2 linked regions of the Xenopus tropicalis genome follow. The protein of the gene in region 1 interacts with the protein of each later gene in a biochemical or structural test. Links are inferred from orthologs where the notes say so. Each region holds a gene or a part of one and is shown on either strand. Other genes may lie near its edges.

Region 1 (4,506 bases):
TAGAAAAATCTCCATTTCAGTTGTTCTCAAACCATTGTTAGCCCTGCAGACATATCCCCTATCTCCAGCACCGCCACAAGTGAATGGGTTTCTCACTTCTGCATAGAGTATGTTCCTGAGCGAACTGTGACTGTGTCCCAGGCAGTACTGACCCATGGGTTCTAGCACATACTATGTATAAGGTGATAATCGCTGCCCTTTGTGTCTTTACCCATTGAGACCAATGCAGAAAAAATAGATCAAGACCCATTATTTCTATGTTGAGTGGAGGTTCTAGCCAAAATAAAATGTTAGTATATGCAGCGTCAGACTCTCAAAACTTTAATTCCTCCTCTTCTCCCTCAAACTCTTTATTATCCTAGTCTGTTCTGCCCCCAATAAGGGGTAATTATATCTCAGTTGGGATCAAGTACAGGTACTGTTTTATTATTACAGAGAAAAGGGAATCATTTAACCATTAAATAAACCCAATAGGGCTGTTCTGCCCCCAATAAGGGGTAATTATATCTCAGTTGGGATCAAGTACAGGTACTGTTTTATTATTACAGAGAAAAGGGAATCATTTAACCATTAAATAAACCCAATAGGGCTGTTCTGCCCCCAATAAGGGGTAATTATATCTTAGTTGGGATCAAGTACAGGTACTGTTTTATTATTACAGAGAAAAGGGAATCATTTAACCATTAAATAAACCCAATAGGGCTGTTCTGCCCCCAATAAGGGGTAATTATATCTTAGTTGGGATCAAGTACAGGTACTGTTTTATTATTACAGGGAAAAGGGAATCATTTAACCATTAAATAAACCCAATAGGGCTGTTCTGCCCCCAATAAGGATTAATTATATCTTAGTTGGGATTAAGTACAGGTACTGTTTTATTATTACAAAAAAGTAATACATTTTAAAAATCTGAATTATTTGATTAAAATGGAGTCTATACAGGCTTTCTGTAATTCGGAGCTTTGTGGATTATGGGTTTACGGATAAGGGATCCCATACCTGTTCTGTTTTATTATTACAGAGAAAAAAGAAATCATTTTTAAACGTGAATTATTTGAGTCTATGGGAGATGGCTATCCTGCAATTCAGAACTTTCGGGTTTCCGGAGAATGGATCCCATTCCTGTGCTGCCATTTTCTTTAACGTTGCTCTTTCACGTGACATTATTATTAACATTCATTTATAAAGCGCCAACATATTCCGCAGCGCTGTACAATAAGTGGGTTACATACATTGGACATACAGAGTAACATATAAAGCAATCAATATCCGATACAAGAGGTGAAGAGGGCCCTGCCCAAAAGAGCTTACAATCTACAAATGAATGGTTCCCAATTTCCTGCTTCTTTCCCTACATTCATTTGCTGCATTGAGAAAATAAAGAAGAAGGAGGTAAAAAAAAGCTGATAACTGACAAGGACAAAAATGCTGCCTGAAGCCTGTCCCGGGCTGCTAGTTGTTATGCAGAATAGCCATGCTTGATTGAGGTCAAGCATGCAGCCACTTTGTAAAATGATCCCTTTCCTGGCCAAGCCACCAGCAGCAGCAGCCATGCTCAGCGTAGCATACGGGTAGCACTCCTATATACACACACATTCCTGTCAAGTCATCCTGCAGGCTGCTTCCAGCTTGGCTTGAATGTGCAGTCTTAATAAAACTCACTGGGCTCTGGGAGAAAATAGCAGTTCTCCAGCAGTGAGTGGAGAGGAGAGGGACCAGGCTATGCATGTGCAGTGGACTGGCTAATCTCTGGGCGGCCAATGAGAGCCAAACAATAGAGCCTGCCATGCACTAAGTCTATCTATTGGGGCTACAAAGAGACATATCCCAGAGGGGTGAAATAAAACTGGGCACTCACTTCCCAGACTTTTTTTCTCCCAATTTCACCTGATTTTTGTTTTTTCATCATTCCATAAGGATTTTTATTTTGCATCAGATATGGTATATGTGGCTTTTATCCTATGGTGGGCTGCTGCCCTGATGGCTAACGTTGGATGTAGCATGCAGAAGAAAGGCACAGACAGCAATGGGAGAAGATACAGCCGGATCCAGCATGGCCAGTGCACCTACACATTCATTCTGCCTGAGCAAGAGGCCAACTGCAAGGAGGGCAGCAGCAGCAGCAGCACCACGGAGCAGTACAACAGCAATGCTCTGCAGAGGGATGCTCCGCAAATGGATCAGGATTTCTCTTCCCAGAAACTCCAGCATCTGGAACTGGTGATGGAAAATTACACTCAGTGGCTGCAGAAAGTAAGTGCCGGGTTGCTTTGCTGTTACAAATGTTATGGAAGCCTCGGACATGGGACCACTGAGAGTTCTTTATGTATTTTTTATAGGGGTTGAGGGAGTGGGGGGGTCAGCATATTTTATTTTTATTGTTCATGGTTAACCCCAAGTATTTAGAAGTGATTGTTGCATGTATGTACTGTAAATGTACAGTAACGGAACTAGATAGCATGGTGCCTGATAGCTCAGCACTTGGTACCATAACTAGTTAATATGCAGCATGTGGTTGTATGGAAGGCAATACAGAACTGACAGTTGTAAGGGTAGGTATATACTGTATGTACAGTAATGTGTAATGTAAATAAAGTGCTTTGTTTTATGGCCCTGCCTTGGTACAGTTACAAGGGTATCTAACCCTGGGGGTGGGCAGCTTGGTAAAACTTCTGCAGGGCAGTCTGAGTCAATGGCAACTGCATGTACAGTCTGTGCTAATTAAAGCCAGAAAGTGCACTGTGAGTCTGCATAGGGGGTTACTTTGTACCTTAGTCTGGGGGCTGGGCAACTAGGGGGTATTTGCTAGGCTGGCACAGTTGCTTAGTTGGTAGGACACATGCCCTGGCCTGTAGCACCGGGGTGCTGGGTTTGAGTTTGACTTGGGCACTGTCTGCCAGGAGTTTGTATGTGTCTATGTGGGTTTCTTCTTAGTCCTCCTGTTTCCCCTAAGGCAGATAGGTTATCTGACTCCTGGTGTAGATTGTAAGCTCCACTGGAGCAGGGGCTGCTGTAAGTGATAAACAGTCTATAGAAAGCGCTGTGTACATGCCAGAGCTATATAAATAAAGGATAATAAATCAAGAGTCGCCGCATGTACATTGCACTGAGACAGCTAGGGGTTACTTTCTATCTCCTCCTGGGAGTAAAAAAAACAGCATGTCATTATTTCCTATGTGAAATGCTTTTAAATCTCCCAAACTAGAAGAGAACTGTAATCAGGAGCAACTTTATTAGCCTGTATGTCTAATGTCTATTCAGAAGGCAGCGCTTTATAGTTCAATTAGCAGCGACCATGTATCTTGCCCTGGAGGGGAGACTTCATCTCATTATTTCGTATGCAAAACCTGAACAGACAGAGAACGTAATTGCAATCAGCGTGGCAGCTCATGTACTTGGTATAAAGTTTCTCTGCTGAGGGATACAGGGTTATCTTGTTCTCATTGGGATTTTAGAAAGACTAGGGCAATGGCTCCCAGTGTACAGAGAGATTATTATAACATCTATTTGCAGATAGCTATGCAGGGGTAAATGTCACTGGGCATACCTGGCTAATATAATCAGTGACTGATCTAACCTTTCAAGGAACGTTCTTTATTAACCGTTTGGGAAGTGTCTTTAAATCACTCGAAGGCATTCCTTGCCTTGGAAGCACTAGGCAGCAGGAATGAGAGGGTTTAACCCTGTGTGACAATGTGCTTCTGTATTTAGAATTTATACCCAGATCCCACAGCAGAGCTTCATATATTACCTAAAGACATAAACTTGCAACACAATGGGATTAAAGGCAAACCTGCAACTCTCCAGCTGCTGTTCTACTACAATTCCCAGGATTCCCTGCTGGCAGTTGTAGATGAACAACAGCTACAGGATAGACAGTTCTAATATAAGGTGGTACAGGTATGGGATCCCTTATGTGGAAACCCGTTATGCAGAAAGCTCCGAATTACGGAAAGCTTGTCTCCCATAGATTCATTTTAATCAAATAATTCAGAATTTTAAAACTGATTTCCTTGTACCTTGTAATTGATCCCATCTAAGATCCCATCTAAATAATCCTTATTGGATGCTAAACAATCCTATTGGGTTTAATTAATGTTTTATTGATCTTTTAGTAGACTTAAGGTATGGAGATCCAAATTACGGAAATACCCCTTATCCGCAATACCCTTGGTACCAAGCATTCTGGATAACGGGTCCTATACCTGTACTGACACATACTTGTCTTGCTGTGTATGGCAAAGCTAGAACTATACACATTATTAATAGATGCAACACAATAGAGATTAAAGGCTAAGCTATAAGACAGAGGGTTCATTCACTGCTGGTAAGTGGCTTTTGCAATGTTTCCGGAGTATAATATTTGGAATGCCAAGGTCTGAAAATTTCTTGGAAGTCCATCCTAAAATATGTTTCATAATCTGCTTTCATTTGTTTGTTGCTGTTATGTCTCAGTTATTGGGTTCTACTGACTTGGCATATTTTGTTTGTTGTGCTGCCACTGCT
Region 2 (3,823 bases), on another chromosome or scaffold:
GTAAAAATAAAGTAGCTCCCAAAATAAACAGCTGGTTTCACTATAATCAGTTCATATAAATAGTTAAGCACAAAAGGAGAGTAGAAAGCACACACAAAAATAAATATAGAGAAGTGCTTTTCCCTAGGGAGGCCGCACATGTAGAGTCCCCTAATAGCAAACAATAATCCATATTGGGGAATGCACACTCCTAAAAACTAAATGTTTATTAAGTTACAAAATCAATGTGGGTTTAATTATGTTTTGATTTTGTAACTTAATAAACAGTTTGTGTTTAAGAGTGTGCATTTCTCTATGTGGATTATTGTTTGCCATATAAATAGTTAAAATAAATAATTAATGTGCTAATAAGTCAGTCAGTTCATTGGGGGCAGTGGAATTTACTTTAAGTTTTTTAGTTCATTGGTGGTGAGTGGAGTTTGCCTGCCCCTGTCAAGCTTTCTGCATTGTCTTTTGGTACACACATTAAGTCAATTTTTAGGCAAGTTATGTCAGTTTCCTAAGTTTTGTGGAAGTTATGTAAATTGTGTAAGTTTTACCATAACCTTGGGGGCAAGGGCACATAAGGGGCAGATTTATCAAAGTGTGACAATTTAGCTTAACCACAGAAAAACTTTCTATTTATTCCTATGGAATTTTAAGAAGCTAGAAGCATATTTATCATGGGTTTTGCTCACCACAGAAAAAACATCCACTTTCTGTAGTTCATAATTTGTATTGCATTTATATGTTTTTGGTTTTTTTTGCAGCCTGCAGAGAAGGAAACTTTGGCAGAAACTGCCAGGAGACATGCAAAGGGGAGCAGGGCTGCAAAGGGCTTACTTTTTGTCTTCCAGATCCATATGGGTGCTCCTGTGGCAGTGGCTGGACAGGTTCACATTGCCAGATACGTAAGAAATATTTATGTTTAAGTTACTTGTCCATAATTTATTTCAGACTTCTTTCTTGTTTTATGGCCACATTTACATGCAAGGTGTAACTATATGGCCTCAAAACTGTAACAAATAAGCTCCAGTTCAGTGACCTATAGCAACATAGCAGCAATTAGCATAAAAGAGCCGAGTCTGATAAAGACACTACTTATTAGAGCTTATTTATTCTTTTATCACAGGTAGTGGGTCATTTGCTGCAGCTTCAGTTCAATTCTGTACAAAGAATGTATGTGGGCCCCTTCCTGCAACATGTGCAGACTTTATGCCTTGTGTTGGACAGGGAAAGACACAAAGTGCAGTGCTGATAGGAGAGACAGTTAACACTATCAATAGGGAAAAGGGTGAAAAACATAGGTGGGCTGGTATTTTTTTCCAAGGTGGTAACACTACTTGTAAATCATGGAGGGGTGCATGGGGAGCCCACATCTACATGTCAGCACTTTGATATACTCACATATATAAAAGTTTCCCTATCTGGCCAAGGTTTCCACACCACAGGTGCTGGGAGTTGCATCACACACACAATTTTTATTTAACTTTTGTACAAACTTGCACAGACAAACAGTTCACATTCTTCAATCAGGGAAGCATCCATATCCACAGAACATATACATTTTTATTCAAACTGGTTCAGTTGTACACAGATTACAACTAGTGGACTCTCACACTCCCTTTTCAAAGGACTTAACCAGAGATCTAGCATCACCTGTGTTCTTACCAATTTGTTCTAAATCTAGCATTAGCCTCCTAGCTTCCTTCTTTAGATGTTCCCATTGGCCAAAGACAGTCACACCTGTTCCTGTACCCTAGTTGGGGTTGTTCACCATTAAATCCACTTTTAGTATGATGTAGATTAGTGCTGTCCAACTTCTGTGGTGCCAAGGGCCGGAATTTTTATGGCCCACATGGCGGAAGGCCGATAATGGAAGCCAGTTTTCACCACTGCCCATTCTGAACCCGCACCCACTTAAACCACACCCATGTTATCACAAGAGCTTTTAAGACCATGCCCACATTAAAGTGATACTGACACTAAAAAAACACTTTTTAAAATATGAATCTACATAAAAAGCTACCTATAGGTCATGTTGATCATTTTTTGCTGATATGGCTGCTTTTGTGGGTAATTGTTACTTGAAATCCCAAAACCTGACTGTTTTGCCAGTCTGACTGTCCCTTCTCAGCCTGTCCGTTATAGCTTCTAATGCTAACGGCCTACTGCTGCACAGATATGGCCGCCCCCTCATAGAGGAACATGGGGGATCAGAGAAGTAATGTAAAAGCTTGGACAAATACTTTTATGGCAAAATTATAAATAGCATGCAAAGACAATGTTATGACAGATGTAAAAAAGGTTTCATTTCTGGTGTCAGTATCTCTTTAATGGTGGTAGCGCAGGAAAAACCCAAATGGTTGGTGCTCACTTTAGGGATATCACCCTTCATTTATATGTAAAAGAATTATATTATGTCATACCCTTAGGCTGATGCCACACCAGGCGTAGGGCTGATTTTTTCGGCAAGCGGAAAAACGCTTGCCGAAAATTCAGCCCTACGCCTGCTACTTGTGCCTGCACCCGAATGAATGGGATATGCTCGGGTGCAGGCACATGTAGCCGATATACGCACGAAAACGCGTGAGAATGCAAAGTCTCGTGTTTTCTTGCGTATATCGGCTACATGTGCCTGCACCCGAGCGTATCCCATTCATTCGGGTGCAGGCACAAGTAGCAGGCGTAGGGCTGAATTTTCGGCAAGCGTTTTTCCGCTTGCCGAAAAAATCAGCCCTACGCCTGGTGTGGCATCAGCCTTAAATCCATAGATATGGTTAGGGTCGGGTGCGGGTCGATGATTTCTCAACCCGTACATCACTACTATGGTTGGCTCGGGCTGGTACAGAACCTCAAAACATAGGGGCAGATTTATCAAAATGTGAGATTAGAGTTTACCACAGAAAATCTTACCCAATTTCTTTGCATACCTATGAGATTTTCAGAAGCGCATCCAATAGGAATAAGTACAAAGTGGGTTATTTTTTTCTGTGGTGAGCTCTAATCTCACATTTAGGGGCTGATTTACTAAGACACGATTTGGAATCCGAATTGGAAAAATTCCGATTGGAAACGAACATTTTGCGACTTTTTCGTATTTTTTGCGATTTTTTCGGCGTCTTTACGATTTTTGCGTAAAAACGCGAGTTTTTCGTAGCCATTACGAAAGTTGCGCAAAGTCGCGATTTTTCCGTAGCGTTAACACTTGCGCGCAAAGTCGCGCCTTTTTCGTAGCGTTAAAACTTAAAAGACGCGACGTTTCGCGCAAGTTTTAACGCTACGAAAAAATTACTTTCGTAATGGCTACGAAAAACTCGTGTTTTTACGCAAAAATCGTAAAGACGCCGAAAAACTCGCGTTTTTACGCAAAAATCGTAAAGACGACGAAAAAATTGCAAAATTACCGATCATTACGAAAAAAACGCAATCGGACGCATTCGGCCCGTTCGTGGGTTAGTAAATGTGCCCCTTAGCATTTAGCACGTTTAGCATTTCTAGCCTACTTCTTTGTTAAACTTTAGTTTTCCTTTAAGTGCCTGAACAATAATTAGTGAAGAAGTTATTTCATTTAATCCTTGAAAGGTTATGGTGACTTTTTATTCTGCCTGCTTAGAGAACCTAGTAATTATATGATGGTATCTTTACCCTTCCTGTAAAAAACAACCACTTACTTGTGTTTAGTCTGTATAGGGCCTTTTTTGAAATCTTTAGTTAAAGTTGGACATGGGTGAATCTACTTCAGTCACCAATGTGATGACCATTAAGCAGTGATTATGCATGAATCAAAAAAATATATTGACTGTAGGTTACAAATAAAATAACAGGCAAATGCTAAACTAGG

The links.
Region 2: the proteins of angpt1 (region 1) and tie1 interact in a biophysical measurement, tested with the Homo sapiens proteins (2 studies listed by BioGRID and IntAct, with this or other methods). The link is inferred for Xenopus tropicalis from reciprocal best matches to the Homo sapiens genes ANGPT1 and TIE1.

Annotation. Positions count from the first base shown.
Region 1 is NC_030682.2:133,372,209-133,376,714, reverse strand, and holds the start of angpt1 (angiopoietin-1), read left to right. Parts: upstream 1-1,527; 5' UTR 1,528-1,938; coding exon 1,939-2,253; intron 2,254-4,506. UniProt on the Homo sapiens protein: Binds and activates TEK/TIE2 receptor by inducing its dimerization and tyrosine phosphorylation.
Region 2 is NC_030680.2:88,395,821-88,399,643, forward strand, and holds part of tie1 (tyrosine-protein kinase receptor Tie-1), read left to right. Parts: intron 1-749; coding exon 750-890; intron 891-3,823. UniProt on the Homo sapiens protein: Transmembrane tyrosine-protein kinase that may modulate TEK/TIE2 activity and contribute to the regulation of angiogenesis.